Astyanax mexicanus: one gene and its partners. Each later gene encodes a partner of the first gene's protein in a complex. Links are inferred from orthologs where the notes say so. Each region holds a gene or a part of one and is shown on either strand. Other genes may lie near its edges. The genes, in order: nup93, nup214, nup85 and ranbp2.

Region 1 (7,818 bases):
TCTTTCAGGCACTGCCTAATTAAAAACTGTCCTGTGACGCATCTGGGATGTTCAGTATGTCACTTAGGGACTTTGTGAGTTAAAGTGAAGGGCAAAGTTTTGTAAGAAACTGTCCACATTATTTAAAGTGTATTTGACATATTTTACAATGAGCCCTTTTAGGGACCTAAAAAGCTGTAGCTGGAACACAGAAAAAGTATAATGTAAAATTGCTAAGATTGTGTTAGCTAATGGCCAGGATATTTCAAGACAAGATTTTGGCTATTATTTATTAGTTGATTCAGGGTGGACAGGTACATGTAATGCTCTGTAAGGACAACCAGTACAGACTTACAAAATCTGTAGATAAAGCAAATTGATTTTTAGTTCATATCACCTCCAAGATTCATGTTAACACTAGGACTGAACCAAACTCATTTTAAGTAAAAAAAAAAGGATCCCTGTAACTGCGCCAAGAGTGAGAAGCTAATGTGTTACTTTTATTTTGCTTTTTAGTTATGTTTACAAGTCAGGACATTGACAAACCAGCAAGGCGAAGTGTTTCATTTATTAACTGTAGGTTAAATGCACAAACTGCTAGTACATATTCTGCAAGAAAAAGATGTTTATTCAAATTCAGCTGGTCATAATTTAGTTGTCCAGGGAAGGCAAATTTACAAAACACAGATTATTCTTCATAGCTTTTTGCTTACTAGGAAACATTTAGTTTTATTATTATATTGTGCAATTTTAACATACAATTTCTAGCCCTTTTCTATTACTTGTATCCCAAAGGTGTGCATGCCTGCTAGGTGTAATTGGCTGTATGGCTTCCCTTTCTTTTAATTTACCAAACAAGGGAGCTTTCGAGCACACTTTTGTGAAAGCAGTTACATATGCTGTGACCTCATGATGTTTATCAAATCAAACCAATTCAAAAATGGACAAAAAGAAATTATATAATTGTGAATAGAATAGAATATCTTTGAAGGAAACATCAACAATCAACATTGGTTTTGAAGAGCTTCAGAGATAAACTTATATACTATATATTATATTATATTATATTATATTATATTGTATTTTTTTTTATTATCCTTTAAATGATTCTCTGATACTGACCATAAAACATAATCATCCCTAGTTCCTATCACCTCATTCATTTTAAGATTCGTCACTAGGATGACCGAAATTTCAGGATCGTGAGGGCATCACCCCTAAGCCTTGTCAACATTAGAGATCTATTAGTCAGGTAAACACTGTAAAGAATAATCCTTGTAATTACAACAGCAGACACAGAGCAGTAGCAGCAGCAGCAGAAGGAGGAGGAGAAGGAGGCTATCAGAGTTTTAGATCTTTCTCAGTTCTTCACAAAGCTGGATTTCACAGATTATTCGGTAATTTAAAAAGAAGTACCGTCTCTCTTCACAGAAATGAAAAATTACGCTCAGTCATAGATAACCCTCTACACTCAACGAGTGCAAAACTCTACTGCTGTGTTTTGTTTACTCTGCTCTCGCGCGAACAGAGTGGGTGCACACGGCCTCAGAGCGCACGCGCTGCTTCACCAAGCCCTGTGGAAGTGCCGTGTGCAGCGTGTGACCAAAAGCAGCATGATTACAACACAGCATTGTATTACAGATAATCTCAACTTTTAATCAACTGCTGAGATAAAAATACCATGATGTAAAAAAAAATCTAAAATCTTTCTGACCTGCTGAAAATCAGTAATTCATTTTTTAAATAAAATCATTTTTTGGGACATTTCTCCCAGATTAAAAAAATAATATTATTAAAATAAAAATATATATTGTCATTTAGTGCATTTATGTGCAGACCTCAAACAATACACAGAAAACAAGTTCATATTCATAAAGTTTTAAGAGTTCAGAAATCAATATTTGGTGGTATAACCCTGTTTTTTAATCACAGTTTTTATGCATCTTGGCATGTTCTCTTCCACGAGTCTTACACATTGCTTTTGGATAACCTTATGCCACTTCTGGTGCAAAAATATAGATTATAATAGAATAGAATAGAAACTATACTTGTCACCAACTTTTACTAAGTTTTACTTTTCACCATTAAACATGTAGCTGCGTCTATATACTGGTTCCCATCGTCTTCTATCCAGCATTTTAAAACGTATTAATCTTAAACATCGTCTACAAAACGTCTCTAAGGACATTTCTTCTCTTTTTAAAACTATTTTACTAATAATTTCGCAGAGTAATCATGTTTACACAATCTCATTTTAAAAAGCTACTTTGGTTGGAAAGGGCAGCCCTTCTTATGTAATTCCGTAAACAATGCTGACATTTCAGTGGTGGTGATAAATGGGGGTCTTAATCATTGTCTGATGGTTTGCACCCAGTCTTGGTGGCGTAATTGTGGCGCTCCATGAGGTAAACCGTGTGCAGGCAGAAGGGGTGGGGACGAGGAGGAGGGGGGTGTGGTTTTGCACTCGTCCTGCGTGAGTTCAGTTCGCTATAAATTCACTGCATTCATTCACCAAATACATTCAGCCTTCCCTCAGGATAGAGCTTCTTTTGAAAGATATCCACGACTGAAACGAACACATTTGAAGAGAAAATGGATCCCTGTGACTGCGCCAAGAGTAAGTAGCTAATGTAGCATGTCACTCTAGTTAGTTTTTAGTTAAGCTTTAGTCATTACGTTGATGGGTGAACAAGTTGTAGTGTTTTTATTAACTGTAACATTATTCTCTCTGTAGCTGGAAGCTGCAGCTGTGGTACAAGCTGCAAATGCACAAACTGCCAGTGTACATCCTGCAAGAAAAGTAAGTTTATTTCCACTAACATAAATTTAACTTTTTTTTTTCTTTCTCTTTTTAATTTAGTATTTAAAAGGGTCTGTTTTTAATTTGTAGTTTTGTTTATGTATATTTAAGCTGGAAAGTCAGTTGTATTTTTTTTTTTTTTATTTTAGTTTGGTGTCTTAATTAAGCTTAATTAAAAGTTGCTTATATATTTTTTCTTCTTATTTTCAGGTTGCTGTCCATGCTGTCCATCTGGCTGCAGCAAGTGTGCTTCTGGCTGTGTATGCAAGGGAAATGCTTGTGGCTCCAGTTGCTGCCAGTGAAGAAAGGACTGTTACTGCCAATCAGGATGTACATATTGTATTGCCTTTTGTACTCTGTAGCTTCTAAATAAGTAATGTCTTTTTAAGGGAAATGCCAATAAATAACACTGCTGTATCTGAGTCTTTTGAATTAACATTTTAAGTGTGAGTTTCTCCAGTCTACTAGAGGTGGCCTTTTTACTAGTCTTAAAATTGAGTGTATGGAGGTAATTTCATTTGAGTTTGATAACTTGCAAGCATGATCAACATGACCAATAGTCAGCAGCATGATTGACATCAAATGCAACATGCTCTATGTTGACCAACTGCTTATTAATAAAATGCCATTGGTCTGGGAGCAACTGAATTCAATAAATGAATGAAATGGGCCTGTTCAACTAAAAATGGGGCAAAGTTTTATCTGCAACTTATTTTAAACAAACCTGACTTAAACGCTAAGTTGAACTGTAGACCTAACCTTTCAAATTAGTACTGATCTGTTTGTCCATATCCAGCCACCTCTCTTTTGATATCTACTGTGACCAGCAGCACCAGTGAGTGGAGGAGGGTCCATCATACTATCCAAGAAAAATCAAAGGTAGTTGTAACCTTTGACTCCTGACTACAGATGGCTATAGCAGATCACCGGGTTGCTGGTCTAAGCAATCTTTATAGCTTTTTGCTCACTAGGAAACTGTTTTATTAACATACAATATCCAGCCCTTTCATATTACTGGTATCCTTAAGGGTGTGCATGCCTGCTAGATTTGCAAGGCATTCTTTTTCCTTTTCTTTTTTTAAAGTTTCCCAAACAAGTAAGCTTTTAAGAACTTACACATGCTCCACTGTGACCTCATGATGGTTATCAAATAAACCAATTTAAAAATGGACAATCAATTATTTAGGTGCAAACAGAAACTAGTATCTTTAGAGGAAACAATCAGCACTGGTTTCGAACATTTTCAGAGGTGATTGTAATTATATTAATGTTTAATCCTTAAAATGATTCTCTGCTAATAACCACTTTTCTATTTTAGCAGCACAATAAAAAATAGCAGCAATTATTACAACCAGCATAGTGGCAACTGTGGCATTTGGTGCTTAAGTAGAAGTGTTATATAATAGTGAAGGGCCCTAAAGCCAAGTGCCTAAATTCTGCCTTAAACTCACTTTCCTCTCACCTTCCCTCCAACAACTTTATAAAAGTTTACCTAATGGAGGGCCTGGGAATGAGCAATCTCTTTCCGTTCTACAAAGCCCTATAAGTAACAAAGTAGAAACAGACATAAATTGCTCCTTCAGTTTTATAAAGTGTTTCCTCAATTTAACTATCAATTTCATCATATTGAACTTAGTTAGTTATTAACTTTAGAAAAATGCTCAGTCTTGAAATCTTGTCTACCATAATTCTATCTAACTTGATACATTAGGGGCTAAGTAATGTTATTCTGGTTGAGTCAATAGCAATATAAGGCCACTCTAAAAATGTAAAGTTGTAATATTCCAAAATTAAAGTCGTGACATTACGAGATTTAAGTAGTAATATTACAATAATAAAGTCGTCATATTACAGGATAAAAATAGTAATATTACGAGAACAAAGTCGTATAGATCCACATGGTTTGTAGATCGAACACGCGTTTAGGACACAGCCCAGCTCCTTTTCAAACCAGAAGGATTTTATAAATAAAGTTATTTTGTCTGCGCATGCGCGTTCTGGGGAGTCCCCAGCCAATCAGCGACGCCGTAGAGAAGAAACCGGGAGTGAAAGAGAGGACGGAGCGGTGGATTCAGCTCTACTGTCAGGAACAGAGTTTTGGGATTAACTTGTGGACTGTAGGGCTTAGGAGAGAAGAGGTGAGGTGGAGCTGCTCTGTGTAATAATGGTTTAAAGCTGTGATAGTGGTTATTCGTTTAGAAGAGGGCATGTTGTTGTTATTCCCCGCAGTAAAGAAGCATGTGCTCTCAGTTCAGTAACGTTAGCTCCAGCACTTCACTCACACTGCGGGCAGCGCTGAGCTCCCGGCGACCGCCCGCCAACCGGGCCCTTTAGCCGGGCTAGATAACTGCTGTGACCGTCTTTTTAAATATGAACATAAACATGAACAGCGCACACTGTTTACAGATAGCTGGGCGATTTAAGAGCTAATAGTTAACAGTAACGACGTCTTCAGACTAAAAAGCAAACACACTCGCTAGCTTTAATGACTGCAGCGCCTGATTAGCAACACTAGCAGCACCTCGTTTCTTCAGACTGTGAAACGTGTGGTGTAAACATTACTGTAGGGTTTTTATACTAAACCAGCTAAACTAACCTAGCTATCTAGTTATCTTCTAACACATTCCCGCCACCTAAAATTATAGTAAAAAAACACAATTTTTTCTTATTAAGGAAACTACAATTTGTACTTGTATTTTATATTGCTGCTGCTTCCATACGCCTTATATTTTTTATGTTTTTCTGTCTCTTATGACAGTATTTTACTCTATATTTTTGTTTTTATATTTATCTATTTTAAATTGCTTTTTGGGTGGAACTGGACCGTGGACATACAAATTCGTTCCACCGTATGTATCACACATAATGTGAAATGACAATAAAATCTTAATGAATCCTTTAATCTCATTTTGAGATAGTAACTCGTTATTTTGATATACTATCATATTATTTTATCTCAAATTTTACTGACTTAGTGTCTCAAAATAATGATTTTCTATCTCAGAATAACGACTTACTATCTCACTACTGTTTCCTTAATAATAATAATAATAATAAGTGTAAGTATTTTACTTAGGTTTGAACATTTTGCTTCTTGAGTTGAGGGAATGATTTAATAAATTGATTCAACCACATATTCAATTAGTTTTTATTTTAATTTTAAATCAGGAGCTCAGTAGTCAGTTATGTAACAGTCGTGCATTTTATCATTCTCTCTGTCAGGGGTGTGCAAAATAAACAAAAAAAAACGGGCTGGTCTTTTAAAATATTATTAATAAATGATTGTACCCCACACGGTACATTGCTATTCATATTTGAATTTCATTTGAGTGCAATAACTGTAACAGGATATCAGAAGTGCAAATAACATACTGATGCCACAAGTAAATGGAAAAACAGAAACATCTTGTGGTCCCCTAATAATGTGTTCTTAAAAGTAATTCAGATAGCCACATTTGGCCCCAGGGAAAGACTTTGGAGACATCTGTCCTCTGGTTAACAACAATTATTTATATAAAGCAAGTTTGTTGTAATCTGTGTTTCTTACTAAATAAATATGGTGATTAACAACACCTTATAATGTCTCTGTTATGGAATCATGACAACAGCCTGTAACTGTTATTAAATAAACTAGTATTACTTGTGATTTGTAAGATTTCAAATTTTCAATTTTTTTAATAATTAAAATTTGAAGTAAATTTTTACTTTAGTTTTAAAATGTCAAAATTCTGCAAACTTTAATTATTTACTTCAGTTTAATGTGACTAATAAAAAAGTATGAGTATTTTAAGTATGACATTTTTTCTCCCCATCATCTCATTATCTAAAACTGTGTGATAATAATTTTGTTCTGTTCTTTCGTAGGCCACCAGGTGAAGCACATGGATGCCGAGGGCTTCGGGGAGCTCCTGCAGCAAGCAGAGCAGCTAGCAGCAGAGACCGAAGCCGTGTCTGAGCTGCCACATGTGGAACGGAATCTGCAAGAGCTTCAGCAGGCTGGAGAAAGGCTGCGTTCCCGCACTCTTACACGTACCTCTCAAGACACAGCCGATGTCAAAGCGTGAGTTCTCACCTGTTCAGCACATTTGTGACCATATTATTCTGAAAAAAACAATATTAAATATATATTAATAAATACACAGTTCACTAGCCCCCTTCTGTTCGAACTGCTCTTTGACCTCAACAACAGTGACAATTTAAGTACCATTGTTTGATGTGAATAATTTTGAGAACAGATTAACAGAATAAATTACTAAACAGATTTTTTTTTCCATCCAGCTCTATTCTGCTGGGCTCCAGGGGTCTGGATATCTTTCATATTTCTCAGCGTCTGGAGAGTCTAAGTGCAGCCACAACCTTTGAGCCACTGGAACCAGTGAAGGATGCAGATATCCAGGTAAAGAATTTATGTAACTGATGAATAGTTTCAAATGTACATAGGACATTTTTTTAATTTGACAGATCAGTACATACAGAAAATTGAGCGATATTTGATAATTGAGCCCTATTTTAGCCCCATGATGTAACCACAAGAACAACACCAACAATAAGAGTATTAGGTTCTCATAGTATCTACTTAGGAAGGTCAGATCTGAGTATCATCTTGGGGTTGTTGCAGAAATATTGTTGAAATCTTGCATATTTTTGGCTGTATTGGAGTGGTAAGAGGAGTTTCTGTAAAAATTATTGCCCCAGCTATGTGGTGTCCAGGGGGATATGTTTTTGGAACTCACTTTAAGATTGTGGTGCCATGCAGCTTTTAGATTGAGGCCTGCTTCTGACCATTCAGCTTTTCTGCTGTGCACACAGTTCTTCTGTCTGGCATTTGAGAAGGAGTAGGCTGGACTGAGCCACACAGTTATGGATGGCGTCAGGGTTCTTTCGATGGTGGGTGGATCTGAGACAGAACTGTTAAAGAATGCTGAGTATCTACTGCTCTCTGAAAATGGGCATTTTCTGATGAGCTTTTGTTCGCTGTAGTGACTAGGGGTGGGCGATAGGCCCTAAAATAATATCATGATATTTCATGGTATTATCGC
Region 2 (7,213 bases), on another chromosome or scaffold:
TCCTGAGCTAATGCAGGTTCTCCAAGCGTCTATTTTGGTTGTATTTTAACTGAATGCTGAGCGAGTTCTTTGAAGTTAAGCTCTTGTATCGTTTTATGACTAGCTTTTGGTACTGACCGCTAGCGCTAATGACTAGCTTTTGGTACCGACCGCTAGCAATAACGTACTGTTGCAAAATTCCAGTGACGGTATATAAGCATGGACGCCTTGGCTCCATTCCCCTCCGAACTCGGAACCTACTCATTTGGTAGCCCTGCCCCTTCTCTCAGACCATGCCCGTAGCTTAGCAAGCTAGCTAACTAACTTAGCTAGCTAGCTAAGCTACTGCAAATTTTCCTGAGCTAATGCAGGTTCTCCAAGCATCTATTTTGGTCGTATTTTGACTGAATGCTGAACCAGTTGTTTGAAGTTAAGCTCTTGTATCGATTTATAACTAGCTTTCGGTACTGACCGCTAGCGTTAACATACTGTTGGAAAATTCCAACATACAGTAATGTTCTTGGAGAAGTATTAGCATATTAGCATAACTTTCCGGCTTTGCTTGTTTCTACAAAGCTAATGCAGGTTCTGCTAGTGTCTCTTTGTGCAAGTTGTTTAAAGTTAGCCTACTGTATCCCTGTACAACCTGCTTTGGGTACCAACAGCTAATGCTAACGTTATGCTAATGCTAATGCTATGTCCGCCATGTTGACAAATTTGCAACCAGAGTCTCTGCCCTTATTCCAGACTAATCTCAAGTGTCTCAGACCGCCTGCATTGAGTTTACAGTGTAGCCTAAAGTACCAGAAGCAGTTTATCCTTTAAGCTAACAACTTTTGGTTAGTAGAATGTTTTCTGAACGTTACATTTAGCGTTCTTAGAATGTTATTTTCTGGATGTTTCTAGAATCTTTTTATTTATTGCTTTGAACTTTCTGTAACGTCATCGAGTTAACGACACTTCAAAGCGTCCAGTTTTTATTTAGTTTTAACTTTTAACATTTCCCTAATGTTGGTATACGTCTAGTTGGGAATGCTATGTGAGAAGCGGTCTAATAACGTTTTAATGCAAACCATTGTTACGTCACAAGTTTTCAGAATGTTCTTGGAACGTCATTTCCGTAACGTTACAGGTTAACATTTCTGGTACCTTTTCAAAAGGTTGCTAAACATTCTTTTAACATTTTCTAACATTAGCTGGATGCTCCCTATAATAAAGGTGATTGGTCTGTTCTAGACAAGGCTGCCGCCTGTCAATCACTTGATGATGTAGCCCCGCCTACTTGTTGCAATATAGAAGAATAACACTGTTGGAATTGTTGGATACTGGAGAGAAAAAGACAGTTTAGAATAGAGAAATTTGATGTGAGATGGGAAATGGGCGGGGCTTTTTTATGTAATTAAAACATATGGGAATGGTTGGAGCTACCCGTCATTCTGCAACCAGCCAGCAGAGGCGCTAGACTTGTGGTGGCTTTATGTTTAAGAGACTTTTGAGAGACGTTGCGCTGTCCATGCTTATGTACAGTTACTGTAAAAACCTGCAAGACAATGCTAGTCCACGGGTGTAAAACAGCTAGCTAGCGATATAGCCTATAGGCTAACTAACGTTACGTTACGTTCTAGGCTAACTACCTTTAGCGGCCAGGCTTCTTTCAGTATGGCAATACTGTGTGAATGAGATAATTCAGTACATGTGCTTCAGAGTTTTAAAGTGTGAAACACGTAAGTCCTTTAAAAAAAAAAAACGTTGTTTACGACTTCAGACGACACTTTAGACTTTAAACGTGAAATACCACCGACTACATCCTGATACGACTAAATCATTCACATTTTATCAGCCAATCGATTTCCTCCACCAACGACAGATTCTGGTTTGGGTTGAAGTTGTGTAGTTCAAGTGATTTAATTCCTTTTCAAATGCAATACTGAAAAAAAAAACTGCTTTCTAATAAAAGTCCTTATTTCACCAAAAACGTTTCCTGTGTTGTTTATTATTACGAAATGTAGGGTATTAAAAGGGTCATTTTTTATCTTTTTTCAACTTCTGTTACTGGCACTCACTCCTGTTACTGGAACTCACTCCTGTTACTTGCACTCACTCCTGTTACTGGAACGCATTCCTGTTACTGGCACTCACTCCTGTTACTGGAACTCACTCCTGTTACTGGAACGCATTCCTGTTACTGGCACTCACTCCTGTTACTGGAACGCACTACTGTTACTGGCACCCACTCCTGTTACTGGAACGCATTCCTGTTACTGGCACTCACTCCTGTTACTGGAACGCACTACTGTTACTGGCACCCACTCCTGTTACTGGCACTCACTCCTGTTACTGGCACTCACTACTGTTACTGGCACTCAGTCCTGTTACTTATGTTTTAAGTAACAGGACTGAAAGTAACAGGAATGAGATTTTAGCCTAGAATTATAGCCAATAGCGTAAGCACACTGAGCACATTCTAGTGATTTTTTCCAAAATTTCTATTTAAAAAAATAAACCAATAAGATGTAAGAATTAATTTAGGTAACAGGACTGAGTGTTGAGATTGAGCTCCTCAGTCATCGTTACAATAAGATCAAATATACAGAAAAACTAATGAGGGAACTTCGGGAATTTTATTCTTCAGAAGAACCAACTTCCTATTGTAGATGTCACTTCCTGTTGTAGATGTGACTTCCTGTTGTAGAATGTTCCAGATGTTTCAGATGATCAGGGTAATGTGTTACAGTAACAGGACTGAGTGAAACCACAACACAGTGACACAACTAAAATGTGTATTTTAACCTTAAAATAATGAATTTATTATGAAAATATATTTTTAAGCATAGATGGGATTTAGAGTCACACAACAATGCAAAAAAATACATCTCTGAATGATTTTAATAATTATATTTCATGGTAAAGTTTATAGTTAGAGAGTGGGGTAACAGGTATAAAATGCTATTTTTATTCATTGTTCTAAGTAGTTTTTATTAATGTTTTTAATTACATATCTTACTTTTGCAATTAGGCCAGTGTACAATAATAAAATGTATTTTAAAGTTATTTTGTGTGCACATTTATACATGTAATTTCGTGAAGACAGAAATGGCACAGATTCAGTGGAATATGCCAAAAAAAAATTATTTTGCTTTTGTTGGAGTAACTGCATCTACTGTCCAGGGAACACTTTTTTTTACTAGATGTTGGATTTACATTGCTTTGAGAATGTATAATGCTTTATTGTTAGTTTATAGGAATAGAACTGTGGCTAATGACTCCAGCAGATCTGAATATAACAGCATATCTAAATGAATAGAGCCAGAAGGTAACATAGACACAGAGGCACCTTGAAACACTGGCATTTACCCACTCCACCAACCACAAATCTAAGATACTTATAACTAATTAAAGCTATAAAATATTAAGCCAGTTTACTTGTTATGAACAAGCTGATATTTTAAGTAATTGGAAGAATATCAATTACAGTAACTACAAAAGTTAGAAACAAATATTATGATTATTATAATTGTTATAATTATAAGGGCCATTAAATTCAGTATATAAGTTATTAATAAGAATTAATGGTTTAAAAGAATAAAATAAGCTAAGAATAAGATATGCTGAGAGTTTAAATTGATTCATTTGTGCACACTCAACATTGATTCAATTTGTTATGTTTATCTTCTTTTTTATGTGTGTTGTGTGTTATGTATTGTTTATATTCTTGTTTGTGTTCTTGAAGTGAACATTTAATAATAATAATAATAATAATAATAATAATAATAATACAATGTTTTTCCATCCTAAATATTAAAAGATTTAATGCGAGTAAAATGTAACGTTTCTAGAAAAATTAAACAAATGATTAAAAAAATAAATACAAATCTTCAACATGTCTAGTATAACTTTGAGGACTTTTATTTTGTATATATGAAGGCTTTTGTCTTGTAAGCAGTAGTTATATTCACTACTGAAATAAAGTCACTTTTTAATCATATTTTTAATAATTGAGATGCATTAATAGCTTCCATTAAAAAAACACAGTGCTAATGAAGCTTTTATTATGAAGAAAGGAAACTGTATCAGATGATAGGGGACTTCTATTGTATAATGCCCGCTTTTAGCGGATGAGTGAGGACTTTTATTGTGTAATGTCCGCGTTTATGCGTCGTTAGAGGACTTTTATTGTGTAATGTCCGCTTTTATCTAGCGATAGAGGACTTTTATTGTGTATTGTGAGCGCTGTCGCAGTTGTGTGTGTTCGCATGGCTGCAGTGTGTGTAGTGTAGAAATGAGGAGCTGATAATTCTATTTTTACAGAGAGAAATATCTGTAATTCTATAATAATCCAGTAGATCCTGTAGATCCTGTAGATCCGGGTACTGCGGGCTGCTCTACTGAACGGCGGGAATATGGGGGATGATCAGTACCCGATCCCCGAGCGGGATATGAAGGTAAAGTTACAGCGCGCGCACAGCTAACAGCTAATGCTAATCCAGCTAAATACTGTATAAACTACTGTGAACTACAACTTTTATAGCTTATGTCTGATATTAATAAAGTGTATTAATTATTATTAAACTGGTGAAAATCCCCTGGAGCTCATATATGTACTATTTACTATTATAATCTCTCTAATTTAAACTGAAACAAACTGAGCTAGCCTAGCCTAGTTTAGCTAGTTAGCTTAACTTATACCTAAATATCAGTTCTTATTAATCGTATAAATCTGAAATAAACATTTATCAATGTTTTTATCACTAGTTTCTGTTAAAAACTACACTGATACTGTATTACTAGTTAAACGTCTAACTAACATTTATTATTTATTAATAATAGTAACGCACTTTCAAACGTTAGCTAACTTAGCTAACGCTAAGTAGTTACACATGAAGTTGTCACAATGTTGTCAACTTTCTTACAGCGTTGTTTTAACGTTATGTAGATGTTGCACTGCAACAATATTGTCTGAATGTTAAATTGTCTATTTTAGCAACAACGTTGTCCAAATGTTGCACTCTTAGACAACAGTGAAAAAAATGTTTCACTTATTTTTTTGCAGCAATGTTTTCTAAATGTTGAGTTGTTTATTTTTAGCAAAAACATCTGTCTAAATGATTAACTGTTTGTTTTAGGAACAATGTTGTCCAGATGTTGCACTCTTTCAACGTTGTCTAAATGTTAAGTTGTTAAGTTGTTTTTAGCAAAAATGTTGTCTTAATGTGGAACGGTTTAGGTTTTCAGCAACAACGTTGTTTAAATGTTGCACAGATTTTTTTGTAGCAATATTATAGAAACGTTGAAGTGTTTGACTAATCAGCAACGTTGTCTGAATGTTTCATCAATGTTGTCTAAACGTGCAACATCTAAATGTTGCATTGTTAATGTTTTATTAGACTCATAACTCCTGTAAACTACAGTGTACTACAGCTTCTGTCTGAGATTAATAAAGTATATTAATCATTATTAAACTGGTTAAAATCTTCTGGAGCTCATATACCTGTATTTACTATTATAATCTCTCTAATTTTAACTAAAAAAAACTGAGCTAGCCTAGCCTGCTATATATATATATATATATATATATATATATATATATATATATATATATATATATATATATATATACACACAGAGTTAGCTAAGCTAGTTAGCTAAACGTTTAGTTAAATATCAGCTCTTTTTAATAACAAAATTACTGATGTTTTCTACTCTAGTTTCTGTTAAAAACTACACTAATAACGTTTTCTAAACGTCCTTTAAGAATATAGTTTACGCTAGCTTACTTGCTAGTTGTCACAACGTTGTTTAGTTTCTTACTGCTAAGTTTCAACATTGTCTATAAGTTTCACTTTCTGTTCTTATACACAACGTTTTCTAAATGCTTAGCGGTTTATTTTATCAGCGTTTTCTTAGTGCATCACTGTTTATTTAATCAAAAACATTGTCTGAATATTGAACTGTTGTTTAAGCAACGTTTTCTTCATGTTGAACTAACGCTAAGTAGTGAGCCAGCAAAAACATGTTTTCTCAATATTGTCAGCTTTCTAACACAGTCGTTTTATTATGTTGAATCAATTATTTTTTGGCAACGTTTGTCTAAATGTGGAACAGTTTATGCTTAAGTAACAACGTTGTCCAAATGTTGCACTCTGTTTTAGCAATTTTGTCTAAATGTTGAGTTCTTTATTTTTAGTAACAACATTTGTCTTAATGTTTAACTGTTTGTTTTAGAAACAATGTCATCCAGATGTTGCACTCTTTTATCAATGTTGTCTAAATGTTGAGTTGTTCATTTTTAGCAACAGTTTAAATCTTGCACAGATTTTTTTTTGCAGCAATATTACCTAAATGTTGAACTATTGTCTGAATGTTCCACACTGTTTTATCAGTGTTGTCTAAATGTTGCACTCAACATATTTAGATGTTGTTGGGACAAATGTTGCAATTTTTTTTTCAGTGTATTAGTTGTGTGTCATTTTGTAAACTTATTACCGTTATTCAATATTTATTGCATTTTACCTAGGTTTGTGCTATTAACAATTACAACTTTACAACAGCATCAATGTTTCTTACCATTTAGACTTTATTACTGACTTTTAACAGATTTCTAAATGTTTTACCTCAATAGCCTAGTTTTCTTGCTGTTCTTTTATTTTGCATTTTTTTAAATAAAAATTTAAATCAGAAAACTACTCTACATCTCTTCATGGCTGTCTCTCTCTCTCTCTTTCTCTTTCTCTTTCTCTCTCTCTATTAGCATGAATGTAGTTACATACATTATTGCCAAATCAATTAATAATACAAGTAACAGACAAAAAAAATACTAATAATAATAACAAAAATAAAATACATAACTAAATCTAAAGATTAGAGAGAAAAAAACCCAGTAATATTAAAAAGGTTGGGTTATTAATAAAGAAAATAAGTAAAAGTAGTCATAAAAGCATGTTAAAGTTAGATTAATAAAACATTAAATTAAATTAATAAATAAGTTAATTAATCTCTATTTCTGTAACAGGATTTTCAGTTTCGTCAGATGAAGAAGATCCGGGTGTTTGATTCTCCTGATGATCTGCAGAAGGAGCGCTCTGGTCTTCTGGCGATCTCTAATAAGTTCGGCGTGACGTTTGTGGGTCTGGACAGAACTCTGAAGGTTTATCTGACTCGGGAAATCATCGCCGCCGCGAAAGTGGATGGAAACATTAATGAAATCGGTAAGAACTGATCGGTTTTACTAGATTGA
Region 3 (7,319 bases), on another chromosome or scaffold:
TGTTCTCAGTCTGTTCCACTTCTCCAGACTCCAGCGCTCCACACAGCGCAGCCTGCAGACACCGACCCGCAGCTGGGCGGCTGTTCTGCTATAAAAGTCTTCAAACCGGCTTAAAAACAAAGCCCAAGTTCTCAGACTGTACCTCTCTACTACTCTTAACACATCAGCGCTTAAATAAGGTCCGTGTTTTCCCGCATTTCACAGAATTGTGCTGTAAACCCGAACCAGCACCCGTACATTCATTACGCTGCTTGAACCCGCGCTGCTGGCTAGCATGTTAGCTAACGTGCTAAATGCGCGTTCACGACTCTTCCGGCGATTCTACAACAGCAGTTGCAGTATTTATCCACTACGCGGAATTATTCTACACACAAACTCTCCATTAATTCTCCATCACTCTATTCTTCTTTTTCCTTCATGCCGTATCTTCTGTGTGATTTGCGAATTATTTTATGATTATTGTTATTATATTAATTTTAATTCTCTCTCACCTTGGGCTTCTCGTCCGCCATCGTTATTGTGTGTTATTTCTCGCCGCCCGCACAAAGAGACTCCCGCCGTGCACGCGCACGTACACGCGCTCGTACGCGCGCAACCCTCCCCTCCCCTCCCCCCATCATCGCCATTCTAGAGCATTCGTGCGCGCGCTCGACACCCCCTCGTTTCACAGCCACAGCGGCTGGGGCGCGACCACGGGCGAACGTGCGCGCACCCGCTCTGTACGGCAGGATGGTTGCTGAGGGGCGCGAGCGGCGACGTCACGAATGCGCGAAACCTGTACAGAATGTCGGTGGTGCGCATCGCTCGTGCACGCGCACGCCATGTTTTCAGACGAATTTACTGCAAATTCGTGTTAAATGTTGAAAATACTGCGCGTTTATGATCATAGAGAGCAATGAACACGTGGGTGTGTGTGAGAGAGAGGTTTATGTGTGTGAGGTTTAGATGTGTAAGGTGGTTTAGATGTGTGTGAGGTTTAGGTGTGTGTGGGGGTGGTTTAAGTGTGTGAGGTTTAAATGTGTGTGTGAGGCTGAGGTGTGTGTTAGGAGTGTGTGAGGTTTAAATGTGTGTGAGGTTACTGTTTGTGTGGGGGTGGTTTAGGTATGTGTGAGGTTTATGTGTTAGGTGGTTTAACTGTGTGGGCTTTTTGTGTATTGGGGTGGTTTGTGTGTGAGGTTTACGTGTGTGTGGTTTAGGTGTTTGTAAGGTTAGGGTGTGTAAGGTAGTTTAGGTGTTTGTGAGGTTAGGGTGTGAGTGTGTGAGGAAGTTTAGATGTATGTGAGGTTAGGGTGTGTGTTTTTTAGGTGTAAGAGATTAGGGTGTGTGAGGTAGTTTAGGTGTGTGTGAGGAAGTTTAGGTGTGTGTTTTTTAGGTGTAAGAGATTAGGGTGTGTGAGGTAGTTAAGGTGTGTGTTTTTGTAGGTGTGTTAGGTAGTTTAGGTGGTGTTTGTGAGGCTAGGGTATATTTTAAGGTATAAAAGGTTAGGGTGTGTGAGGTAGTTTAGGTGTGTGTTATTTTTAGGTGTAAGAGGTTAGGATGTGAGAGTGGGTTTTAGGTGTGTGAGGTAGTGTGTTTGGTGCGTGTGAGGGGTGGTTTAAGTGTGTGAGGGGGTCTAGGCGTGTGAGGTTTAGTAGGTATGTGGGGTGGTTTAGGCATGTGAAATTTGTGTGTTAGGGGTCATTTAAGTGTAGGTTTGTGTGTTAGGTGTGATGTAGGTGTGTGTGAGGGGGTTAAAGTGTGGAGGTGGCTGGTTTAGGTGCATCTGAGGTTTAGGTGTGTGAGGTTACTGTTTGTGTGAGGGGTGGTTTAGGTGTGTAAGGTGGTTAGAGTGTGGAGGGTGGTGGTTTAGGTGTGTGAGGTTTTATGTATGATTTAGGAGTGTGTGAGGTTATTGTTTGCGTGAAGGGTGGTTTAGGTGTGGGATGTTTATGTGTGGGGGTGGTTTAGATAAGTGTGAGGTTCATGTGTGTAAGATGGTTTAACTGTGGGCTTTTTGTGTGTTGGTGTGGTTTAGATGTGTGAGGGGGTTTTGGTCTGTTTTAGCAGTGTGTTAGGTGTGTGGTTTAGATGTGTGAGGGGGTTGTGGTTTGGGTGTGTGGTTTAGATGTGTCTGGTTTAGTTTAGGTATGTTAGTGGATTTAGGGGGGTGTTAGTGGGGTTCAGGTGTGTAAGGTTTAGGTGTGTTGGGTGGTGCAGGTGTGTGTTAGGGGTGGTTTAGGTATGTAAGGTCGTTAAAGTGTGTGTGGTTTAGGTGTGTGCGGGGAGTTAGGTCTGTTAAGAGTGGTTTAGGTGTGTGCGGGGATTTAGGTCTGTTAGGAGTGGTTTAGGTATGTGCGGGGAGTTAGGTCTGTTAGGAGTGGTTTAGGTGTGTGCGGGGATTTAGGTCTGTTAGGAGTGGTTTAGGTGTGTGCGGGGAGTTAGGTCTGTTAAGAGTGGTTTAGGTGCATGAGGGGGTTGTGGTCACTGTTAGGAGTGGTTAGATGTGTGTTGGGGATTTAGGTGTGTATAAGGGATGGTTTATGTGTGTAAGAGGAATGGGTTATGTGTGTGAGAGGGGGTTAGGTGTCAGGGGTGGTTTATATGTGTGTGAGGGGAAATTTAGATGTGAGAGGGTGTTTAAGTGTGTAAGGGGAGGTTAAGATGGGAGAGGTTTAGGTGTGTGAGGAAGTTTAGGTGTGTGTGAGGTTAGGGTGTGTGTTTTTTTTAGGTGTAAGAGGTCAGGGTGTGTGAGGTAGTTTAGGTGTGTGTGAGGTTAGGGTGTGTGTTTTTTTTTAGGTGTAAGAGGTCAGGGTGTGTGAGGTAGTTTAGGTGTGTGTGAGGTTAGGGTGTGTGTTTTTTTTAGGTTTAAGAGTTTAGGGAGTGTATTTTTTAGGTGTTTGTAAGGTTAGGTTGTGTGAGGTAGTTTAGGTGTGTGTGAGGTTAGGGTGTGTGTGTGTTTCAGGTGTAAGTGGTTAGGGTGTGTAAGGTAGTTTAGGTGTGTGTCTTTCAGGTGTAAGTGGTTAGGGTGTGTAAGGTAGTTTAGGTGTGTGTTTTTTAGGTGTAAGTGGTTAGGGTGTGTGAGGTTAGGGTGTGTGTTTTTTAGGTGTAAGTGGTTAGGGTGTGTAAGGTAGTTTAGGTGTGTGTGAGGTTAGGGTGTGTGTTTTTTAGGTGTAAAAGGTTAGGGTGTGTGAGGTTAGAGTGTGTGTTTTTTAGGTGTAAGTGGTTTAGGTGTGTGAGGTTAGGGTGTGTGTTTTTTAGGTGTAAAGGGTTAGGGTGTGTGAGGTTAGGGTGTGTTTTTTTTAGGTGTAAGTGGTTAGGGTGTGTGAGGTTAGGGTGTGTGTTTTTTAGGTGTAAGTGGTTAGGGTGTGTGAGGTTAGAGTGTGTGTTTTTTAGGTGTAAGTGGTTAGGGTGTGTGAGGTTAGAGTGTGTGTTTTTTAGGTGTAACAGGTTAGGGTGTGTGAAGTAGTTTAGGTGTTTGTGAGGTTAGGATGTGAGGGTGGGTTTTAGGTGTGTGAGGTAATTTAGATTTGTGTGAGGTTAGGGTGTGTGTGTTTTTTAGGTGTAAGTGGTTAAGGTGTGTGAGGTTAGGGTGTGTGTTTTTTAGGTTTAAGTGGTTAGGGTGTGTGAGGGTGTGTGAGGTTAGAGTGTGTGTTTTTTAGGTGTAAGTGGTTAGGGTGTGTGAGGTCAGAGTGTGTGTTTTTTAGGTGTAAGTGGTTAGGGTGTGTGAGGTTAGAGTGTGTGTTTTTTAGGTGTAAGTGGTTAGGGTGTGTGAGGTTAGAGTGTGTGTTTTTTAGGTGTAAGTGGTTAGGGTGTGTGAGGTTAGAGTGTGTGTTTTTTAGGTGTAACAGGTTAGGGTGTGTGAAGTAGTTTAGGTGTTTGTGAGGTTAGGATGTGAGGGTGGGTTTTAGGTGTGTGAGGTAGTTTAGATTTGTGTGAGGTTAGGGTGTGTGTGTTTTTTAGGTGTAAGTGGTTAAGGTGTGTGAGGTTAGGGTGTTTGTTTTTAAGGTGTAAAGGGTTAGGGTGTGTGAGGTTAGTGTGTGTTTTTTAGGTGTAAGTGGTTAGGGTGTGTGAGGTTAGAGTGTGTGTTTTTTAGGTGTAAGTGGTTAAGGTGTGTGAGGTTAGGGTGTGTGTTTTTTAGGTGTAAGTGGTTAGGGTGTGTGAGGTTAGAGTGTGTGTTTTTTAGGTGTAAGTGGTTAAGGTGTGTGAGGTTAGGGTGTGTGTTTTTTAGGTGTAAGTGGTTAAGGTGTGTGAGGTTAGGGTGTGTTTTTTTAGGTGTAAGTGGTTAGGGTGTGTGAGGTTAGAGTGTGTGTTAGGTGTAACAGGTTAGGGTGTGTGAAGTAGTTTAGGTGTTTGTGAGGTTAGGATGTGAGGGTGGGTTTTAGGTGTGTGAGGTAGTTTAGATTTGTGTGAGGTTAGAGTCTCTTATGCTGTGGTACTTTTAGCCTTTACAGCACGTTGATATTTTTTCTGTCAAGGACCCAGTCTTGATACAAAAAACAGATTTGACATCACTGATAAAATCTGATACAAACCTCATGAACAGTTTGTAGCGTTTGGCTCAACAATGCACAAAAAACATAATTTTTCAGATTGTTCTGGCTACTGCAGTTGCACAGATCACCCTCCTCTGCTCTGGCACATCCAGCAAGCTGATTGGCTCTTTTTGTTGAAGGGCGAGACTTATCCATAAAGCAGCTGGGGTTGAGGGTTACTAGAACTCCCATTCCTATTCCAGTAAGTGGCTGGACTCCTCATTCAGCATGTCTGTCATCTGCCATTTTGACTGATAGCTAGCAATAACAACTTGTGCACAGTTCTAAATGGAAAATGTAAATATCTCTAATGGTGGAATGGGCGCTAATATGTTGGCTAGGTAGGTCTGTGGCTTTGTGTTGCCTTGTCAGTAGGCTCAGATTGTATAATGTACCAAGGAAAAAGTGAATTATAATGAAAAACACCTGAAAACTTTAAAGGCTGTAAATGTATGAATTCTAACAGCTGCTGAGCAGCCCATATCGATTTTAGCAGAACTCAACGGATCACCTTGGCTAAGCTAAGCTAAACTGGCTAAGTTAGTGCTAAATAAATCTACTAGTTTATTGACTCTGAGGTCCTAGTGATTTTTCTCTAAAGAAAGATGGTTAATTTTAACGGGAGTTTAATATTTTTGGATGCTGGTTAAGAAGTGAATTAACAGATCAAACTCTAAACTTAAGTTTCACACAAAATAACAGCACGTGCTCTTTAGTGTAGTTTAAAGTGTTTGGATATTGTGTTAATGATTTAAAGGCTTGTAACTACTGTTTAAAGGTGGGCTGATCATATCACTGTAATATGGCAAGCCAAATGGGTCAGAATTCGCCTGGGTCTGACGGCGCTTAAAGCGTGCGAAATACTTAAAAAACGCCGTCCAAAACGCCGTGCAGGGCTTACTTTTACGCCTTGGAACAAACGCGAGGCGCCGCCAGGCGTTTAAGAGCGTGTGGCGGCGCCAGGCGCTTACATAACGCCACCACGCGTTTTCATAACGCCTCCAGGCGTTCCATATGCAAAAACGGACAGAATATACATATCCCCTCCTTCTCCAAGCAGTTCAGCCCTCTGACTCTGTCAGGGAACTATATCTCCTGTTAAAATAAAAGCCCCCAAGTGCTTCAAATGTCTGCTGTGTTATTAGATGTGCTAGATTCATGTATTTCTGGCTAAACTGGGCTTTGCAAAATGTAGTCCCTGATTAAAACATAACAAAATGTAATCAAATGTACTTATTTTTTATCAACTCTTTCATTGCTGGCCTATTTAGTAATCATGTTTAATTTGTCTGATGCCGCAAGACCTGAGCCAGCCAACACACACACACACACACACTCTCTCTCGAAGGCATTGGGGATTTTAATAAAACGCGCAATACAGAGACCACCACAGCATACAGAATGAATGCATAAATTGAGAAATTAGGAAATCAACCGGACACACAAAATCCAGCAACACATTTAGCAGATCTGTGTAGAGATTCTATACGTTTTAGGGTCACTCTTAAAAAAAAAAACTGTTCACTATGAGATCGTAATATTCCGAATCATTCAGTATTCAAGGTATTCCTTAATTAAATTGTTTTTGATCATGGTACATCCTTATATTATTTTTTGCTTTCTTACTTTTTAAATAAAAGCCCTTTTTGTATCGCTGCCGCTCAAACGGGCAGCGTGGGTCTAAAATGAGCCACATTCATTTTCTATGCTACTTCAAGTATGGCTGTGGTTCTATGATATATTTTAGCAACGCATTAATTCCGTCGTTCAGAATTTAATTGACGAATTTATGAATGAGTGTTTCTTTTGCACAAATCTTAATTTTCATTCTCCTTACACAGGTTTACACACACGGGTCAGACACAACGCACATGAATTTACCATTTCACAGCTCAGCACAGCTCCCTCAGTACTGTTTTACGATAACATCACCTTAGAAAATATTTGATGCCACTAGTGAAAGATAACTGTATATAATATTTGATTAGGATTAGGTTACCATTAGAGTGAGAATATTACCTGTCAGAAAGTTACAAGTACGTATTATTAGATGTTGACATATTCTATTTTAGTTAGCTTAATATACTGTAGTACTTTGTAGGCCATTTAGCTACAGGGTGTGTTTATAATAATGTTCTTGGTGACAGTAACTGAAATATTTTATTAATTTAAAGAATAAACATTTTTAATAAAATAAATAGTACAGTCTAATATAGGATAATGGTAATAATAATAATAATAATAATAATAATAATAATAATAATAATAATAATAATAATAATAATAATAATAATAATAATATTGACATTATTTTGACATATTCTATTTTAGTTAGCATTCTGAATATTTTGTAGATTTTTTTAAAACTGCACACACACACACACTTTTATTATTACTATTATTATTATTAATATAATTTGATATTATTATTATTATTATTATTATTATTATTATTATTATTATTATTATTATATTGATATAATTATTATTATATTGAATTAATAAATTATTTAAACAAGCCCGGAGTGGCTAATCGGGAGGATTCCCGATGGGCCGGGGCGAGTTTGGGCCGGTTGGACGGAAAAAAATTATTTACCCTCACTTCTCTAATCTTATTCTTGCATTCATTGCCATTCAACTATGCACTCTCTATTCGTCTGACAACACAGCCCCTACGTCGGGTTTAACCATCTGAGGGAATTCTCCTCTCCCAAATGTTTGAGTTGGTTGCGTCCACCAGTGGTCTTTTCTGAAGCGATCAAATTAAATGCAGCAACAGAATAGCACAAAGCGTCAGACGACTGTGAT
Region 4 (6,882 bases), on another chromosome or scaffold:
TGACTGTGTAATTACAGTCCTATCACAGTGTCCTTTATTAGTACAGTAGTACCCTCACTCCAGTGTACTTTAAAGATATCCTGATGGAAAGGGAAGTAATGTTAAAGTGGAATCATCAATGTTCCAAACACCTGCAGTGGACTGCACTAGAGTCCACTTAAAAAAATAAACCAAGGTCACTGATTTCAGGAAGACCAGACTGCTTCCTGCTTCATAGCAGTTTTCACATTGCACCAAACTAAACCAAACTCACAAAAATAAGAAAAAAAGAACTACAAGGACCAGTGAAAAAAAGCTAATGTGAAAATACCACTCTTACAGTAGAGAATGTCAGTACTCAGGATGCACAGGTTTACTAGATTAATGAGCATAAATACATGATGTAATTATATCCAATAGAGTGATTTGTGAGTGATTTGGGTTTTTATCAGGGAGAAGTTTGTGGAGCTGGATCTGAAACCGGTGTGTAAACAGTGCTATGAAAGAATGCCGGAGGAGCTGAAGCGCAGACTGGCCAAGCGTGAACACGACTCCAAGGAGCGAAAGAGGAAGATGGGTATCTGTCTGTGATCTTCGCCAGCAGTTGGTTAGTGTTCTGCGTTCTCTTCATTTTTTCACTGTGTTTATCATCTATTACACTTTCAATAATCAAATTTTTCTTTTTTTTTTTTTCAGAAATGTTGCAGTTCTATGAGGAAAGTGCAGAAATTTGATGATGTGTACTGTAGTATTTTCTAGTATTTGTTATAAATATTCAATGATTTTATCCTATATTGTACATAAATACTGAAGTCATCCAGACCAAGAAGGAACACATACTCAATCATATAGTAACTTTAAAGTGTTAAACAAACCCAAAATATTCTGCAATACCCAGATACCCTGGTGGGTTCTTATATGGGGTGCTGTTAACTAACTGTGGTTTCTAAGGCTGGTAACTCTGTTGAACTTATCTTGTGCAACACTGGTAACTCTTGCCCTTCTTTTTTGGGGGATTTTCTGATGAGAGCCAGTTTCATCATTAGGTTTATGATGAATTTTTATAAAGCTGGCTGAGAAAATGCTAAGATGGAAAAAGCTGTCATCTAAGCAAAAGGTGATACTTTGAACATTACCTGGTTTGTTTAATATTTTTGTTTACTAAATAATTCTATATGTGTTTCTTCATAGTTTGAATGACTTTAATATTAATCTTTATTGCAGAACATTTTAAAATAATGAAAAAACACTGAATTTAAGGTGTGTCCAAAATGTCACTGTATGAAATGTACACATGCATTGACAAGTTTTAAACCAGCATACAGTGTTATGCATACAGAGTTGGCACCCCTGATCATTTTCATGATTTCCTTTATAAATCACTGGTTGTTCAGATCGGCAATTTCAGTGAAATATATCAGATGATATTGTAATATCTGACAAGTTTATTGGATTTACAGAAAGTGTTCAATAATTCTGTAAACAGAAAAATTGGGCAGGTGCATACATTTGGGCACCCTTGTTGTTTTATTAATTTAAATACCTTTAGCACTAATTCGTTCTCAAAATAGTTTAAGCTCATTGTCTCTTGACCTACATACACAGGTGAATCTATTTATGAGAAAGGTTTAGGTGGCCAATTGCAAGTTTTTTTTTCTTTTTGCATCTTCTCTAAAGAGTGGAAACATGGAAGCCTCAAAACAAAACTCTAAAATTAGCTGAAAACAAAGATTGTTCAACATCATGGTTTAGAGGAAGGATACAAAAAGCTCAGATCTCAGAGATTTCAGCTGTCAGTTTCCACTGTGAGGATCATAGTGAGGAAATGGAAGACCACAGACACAATTCTAGTTAAGACCCCAAGTGGCGGACCAAGAAAAATCTCAGATAATCAGAGGAGAAGGATGATGAGAACAGTCATAGTCAACCCACAGATCAGCTCCAAAGACCTACAACATCATCTTGCTGCAGATGGAGTCACTGTGCAACATTCAGCTATTTAGAGCACTTTACACAAGGAGTGGCTGTATGGAAGAGTAATTAATGCAGAAGAAGCATTTTCTGAGCACACGCCACAAACAGAGTCACTTGAGGTATGCTAAATCACATTTGGACAAGCCAGCTTCATTTTGGAATAAGGTGCTGTGGACTGATGAATCATGATAATTATCAGGGATGCCCAAACTTTGCAATACCAATGTAACCAGGATTTTAATGTTTTAATATTGTTTGACTTTAATCATAATTTTTAGATTATCTTATAACTTTGTGAAAATTCTAAAAACATTTGGAGATGTGGTTAATCAATTAAAAACAATACAAAACAAAAATCCAAGCCTAACACTGTCCCTAGATCTGTGGTGTGATTACTGTAGCTTTAAGTTAGATTCTCACTGAGTGCATTTACATGCTTTTCATAATACAGATAAAAACTCATCAGACAATAATCAGATTTTTGTTGCAGCCAGACAATAATCTCACAGAATAAGACGTGATAAAAACATTGCGTAAAACATGAACTTCACACTGCAATATGGTCATGAACAGCTAGAAAATGAAGATTATTTAACCTGCAGTTTCAGGGTGTCTCACAAAGTATTTGGTTGGGATCTCACAGGTGCTGTGTTAAACTCGCTTATTTCCACCCTGTTTTCACTCATGCACATCCCAGAATACTCCGGTTAGCCCACTGTAGCATGATTTTTTTCATATTTATTGGGAACAAATATTGTAGCCTGTTGATATATCCATTAAAAAATAACTGCACAATGTTGCACTGAGACAAAAATAAAAAAACCCTGTTTTAGTATGCAAATGAAAATAAACTAGCCACAATAATGACAAAGACATTAAAAGGAAAATTCAATTATCAAAAATATTCTTTGGTGCCTAAAAGCCAATCCATGCCATAGAGGGTATGACTTCATACTCAGTATGAAGTCAGTGTAAACTCAGTTTATATTACTACTTCATTTATACAGCATATTAATTTAGCATATATTGTGGAATGTATTGTTATTGTATTGCTATGAGGTGCACTGATTTGCCTCAGCTTCTCTTTGGATTGTATATGTTATTTGTTTGGAGTTTATTTAGTATTCACTGCCTATTGCTTGAAATGAAAATAATTTAAATAAAATGAATGTATACCAAAAAAAATACTCGAGATTCCTGACATCAGAGTTTCACGCCTCCACTCTGTTCACACCACACCTATTATTAATACCAGTTATAAATTAATAATAAAAAAAGAATACCCTACTTATAATACAATTTGTATAGCCAGTATGTACATATATTTATATCTTTATAAATATCTGCAGTGTTTAAAAAAGCACCAGCAGCACTGCTGCATCTAATCAACTTGTAGCAAAACAAACACCATCACCTCACACACCACTACCATGCATATAGACAGTGTATAGGCTGTATAAAGGACAGTGTGGACAAACTGTAGATGACAGTGTGTATATATATCATATAAAAGACAGTGTGTATAGACTGTATAAAGCACAGTGTATATAGACTGTTGAGGACAGTGTGTATAGACTGTATAAAGGACAGTGTGTATATACTGTGTATAGGAGAGTGTGTATATACTGTATAAAGGACAGTGTGTATATACTGTGTGAAGTAGAGTGTATATATTGTGGAAAGAACAGTGTGTATATACCGTATAAAGGACAGCGTAGGTAATATACTGTAAAACACTGGAGCTCCTGTTCTCCATGCAGCACGCTTGCACTGACGGCAAACACGCAGCTTTCATTCTATTGGCTGCGACTCTAGAGGCGGGACGTTCGTCCTCAATCCTCATAGGCTGAATGGTTTGTTGGGAGGCGTGATAGGATTGTGTGATGCGGACGGAAATCTCGCGATAAGGTAAACGAGAGCGGCCATATTTGACAGGTTCGGGGAAGAGCGCGGTCCCGGCGAGTGTTCAAACAGAGCGGTGTATTAACGGAGTAACAGCGGAACAACAGCGAAACACAGATCACCCGCCACCCCAGAGACAGATTCAGACATGAGGCGGAGTAAAGCCGACGTGGAGCGCTACATCTCCTCCGTAGAGAGCCTCTCCCCCGCCCGCACACAGGTACCAACCGCCCGCCAGCGCTAGCATTAGCATTAGCATTACCAGGGCCGGCTCCAGCAAAAGCAGCTCTGTGTAGAGAAGACCCCCCCCCCTCTTTCTTAAGTTCATTTAGTTATGGGCTTTTAGTGTTTGTGGCACTTTAACGCTCACACGCCCCCCCCCAGCCCCCCCCCCCCCCAGTAATAATAATGATAATAATAATCATAATAATCATCATCATCATTATCGTCAGCTACAATGCAAGATCACAGTTAAGATATTTTATTTTAAGAATTTATAAGAATTGAATACTAACAATACAGCGTTATGCAAATACAATACATAACGCTACCATACTGTTTAATCAACGTTAATTCAACGAATTCTGATGTCGGAGTTTAACGTTACATTAATGCATTAGAGATCGAAAGTGAGCGAGCTCGTTGAGCGTTAAATAGCTAACTAACCTAACGCTAGGTAGCGTCAGTTAACTAGGGTAACTGTCTGTGTTCTGAGAGTAGAAGAGCACCAACCAGCCAAAGCCTTTAAATGATGGTTTATTCAGTGTCAGAATTTTAACAACTAAAGTTTTTTTTCCATAATCAACATTAAAATGTATTAAAGTAGCTTGTATTCAGTGTTTTCTTCTATCAGTACGTTTCTACTGAATCCAGCGCTATTTAGTTTTCCTTCAGACTTGGTCAGTTTAAAGTTTAATGTGTAGAACTGCGGAATTGAATTTGACCGAGCTCCAGCTGTAGATCAGGGTGTGTATCAGCCGCAGTGTGTGAGGGCAGCGCGGGGCTGGAGCTGAAGGCCTGCGCGTGTCAGAGTCGCCGGTATTAGCTATGCTATGCTAGGCTAGGCTAGGCTAGCGGTCCCTCAGTGAGAACAGTCGGTACACTGCGGGCTTTTAGCTGTTCACTGTGAATGTGAACCGGGTTATAAACACCAGATTAATAAACCCCGTATCTCTTCGTTAATAATTTATACCGCATTATCCACACCTCCCTGCTGTACAGTCGCAGTTACCCGGCTATTAGCATTAGCGCTGACTGTAGGAAAGCGCGGTAAACGGGCGGGAGGTTCTAAAGATCAAGTTAAACTCTCTCTCTCTACACTGATTTATTTTACATGTACTAAACGTTAATTCCACATTTCCGTACAAATCTCACAAGTCTGATAATTGTAATAAATCCTTACTGGTGCTGATGCTAATTCACCATATCTAAACCGGCCTTGACTGGCTGAGAGATGCAGTTCACATGTCTGAACAGTATCAGAGCTAAAGTACAACTATCTTTTAAAGAAATAGTAAGATTACTGTTATTAATGCCTAAAACTAGTCGTATTATTCGTCAGAATTAGTCTATATAACGTTATATCTGAAAATACAGTTTCTGTAAGCTTTGTAAGTATGTTTTATATTGTCTTTATTCTTGTGTGGTATGATGTTTTTGTCCCCAATATGTCAGTGAGCAATTTAAGTATTATTATTATTATTATTATTATTATTATTATAATTATGATTATTAATAATTAATCATTTTAAAAACATAATTATACAATTACACCCTTTTACATAACAGGAAACTTTTTATGTGTATAAATATGTAGATATTAGTCAAGTAAGTTAGACAGGGAATTTAAAAATGGTTTAAAATCCTACCTTAATATAAAGACTCCAGATAAATTTCACTGTAGCTGTGAGATCATGTTCGATGTACAGTGGTGCTTTAAAGTTTGTGAACCCTTTAGAATTTTCTAGATTCTTACATTTGAGAGTGAAATTAGTGTCGGCTGTTTTCAGTGATAATGGACGGAGCAAGGTTATAATAGTTTTGAAATTTTCATTCTAGATTCTTTTTTTTTTTTTTTTTCCACTTTTTCTCCTTCAATTCAGTTAGTTTTAATTAGTTTTTAGAGTTGGTGTGCCAGTTTTTATTATTTTATTTTCTTTATTATTGCTTAGTTTTAGTTAACGTTAGTTTTTATTAATTCTAGCATTTGTTTTTTTTTTCATACTTTTGTGAGGATCAGGATTCAAAAAGATATTATGAAAAAAAAAACTCAACAAAAGAAACAAAAACAAAAAAATCAGTTACTGTGAAACAACTAACTGTCCCCAAAAACTGCTTAAAATAGCCAAAAGAACACACATGAACATGACACGCACATCACATCAGAGAGCTCAACTTGAGAAACCCAGAAACAAACTCAGAAACCCAATAAACTATACAGGTTTTACTCATTTTCACCAAAATTATCAAGTCAGAAATTAAATTGAAATGGACACCTGGCACTAGATACAGCTAAGATAAAACTTTTTACTATATTAGTGCAGAACTAACTATACTGTAGCTCACATATATAACATCAGAAAGTGATCACAGCTGTCTGAAATACAGTTTATTTAGTGTGTGTGAGTTAGAGAATGTGTGTGTATGTAAGAGAGATAGAAAGAGTGAGAAAGAGACATATTTATCAGTTCATCTTCCAGCTTGAGTTGTTCTGGTGTATGAGCTACTCAGAGTAAGGCTGGTAAAGGTACTCACAGTTAGGGCTCTTATGCTGCTTCTCAAATAGACTTACAGCTGTGTGATGTTTATTCCGCATACGGTATCTGCTGTTTTAAATACAGAATAGAGGTGTGCCATATCGTATCGTACACGATAATATCGCTAACATTTTTGAATACAGTGTACAATATTTTATCCTGAAATATCGTGCCCTAATTATCACATCAGGGTACTATTTTTTTGGCTGTTTTAAGCAAAAGAAAATTCCTATTATATATCTACTAGAGACATATTATATCTGTTCAATAT

The links.
Region 2: nup93 (region 1) and nup214 share a complex: the UniProt entries of both Homo sapiens proteins name them as parts of the nuclear pore complex. The link is inferred for Astyanax mexicanus from reciprocal best matches to the Homo sapiens genes NUP93 and NUP214.
Region 3: nup93 (region 1) and nup85 share a complex: the UniProt entries of both Homo sapiens proteins name them as parts of the nuclear pore complex. The link is inferred for Astyanax mexicanus from reciprocal best matches to the Homo sapiens genes NUP93 and NUP85.
Region 4: nup93 (region 1) and ranbp2 share a complex: the UniProt entries of both Homo sapiens proteins name them as parts of the nuclear pore complex. The link is inferred for Astyanax mexicanus from reciprocal best matches to the Homo sapiens genes NUP93 and RANBP2.

The regions. Positions count from the first base shown.
Region 1 is NC_064416.1:22,512,634-22,520,451, forward strand, and holds the start of nup93 (nuclear pore complex protein Nup93), read left to right. Parts: upstream 1-4,796; 5' UTR 4,797-4,917; intron 4,918-6,643; 5' UTR 6,644-6,660; coding exon 6,661-6,839; intron 6,840-7,057; coding exon 7,058-7,175; intron 7,176-7,818. Other genes in the region: metallothionein-1, read left to right, coding at 2,572-2,596, 2,714-2,779, 2,990-3,081. UniProt on the Homo sapiens protein: Plays a role in the nuclear pore complex (NPC) assembly and/or maintenance. May anchor nucleoporins, but not NUP153 and TPR, to the NPC. During renal development, regulates podocyte migration and proliferation through SMAD4 signaling.
Region 2 is NC_064408.1:3,828,382-3,835,594, reverse strand, and holds the start of nup214 (nuclear pore complex protein Nup214), read left to right. Parts: upstream 1-4,199; 5' UTR 4,200-4,379; coding exon 4,380-4,421; intron 4,422-6,988; coding exon 6,989-7,184; intron 7,185-7,213. UniProt on the Homo sapiens protein: Part of the nuclear pore complex. Has a critical role in nucleocytoplasmic transport.
Region 3 is NC_064410.1:17,650,343-17,657,661, forward strand, and holds the start of nup85 (nuclear pore complex protein Nup85), read left to right. Parts: upstream 1-4,314; 5' UTR 4,315-4,713; intron 4,714-4,762; exon of another isoform or gene 4,763-4,852; intron 4,853-7,319. Other genes in the region: sumo2b (small ubiquitin-related modifier 2), read right to left, coding at 492-512. UniProt on the Homo sapiens protein: Essential component of the nuclear pore complex (NPC) that seems to be required for NPC assembly and maintenance. As part of the NPC Nup107-160 subcomplex plays a role in RNA export and in tethering NUP96/Nup98 and NUP153 to the nucleus.
Region 4 is NC_064418.1:23,985,951-23,992,832, reverse strand, and holds the start of ranbp2 (E3 SUMO-protein ligase RanBP2), read left to right. Parts: upstream 1-3,864; 5' UTR 3,865-4,003; coding exon 4,004-4,075; intron 4,076-6,882. Other genes in the region: LIM and senescent cell antigen-like-containing domain protein 1, read left to right, coding at 432-570. UniProt on the Homo sapiens protein: E3 SUMO-protein ligase which facilitates SUMO1 and SUMO2 conjugation by UBE2I. Involved in transport factor (Ran-GTP, karyopherin)-mediated protein import via the F-G repeat-containing domain which acts as a docking site for substrates.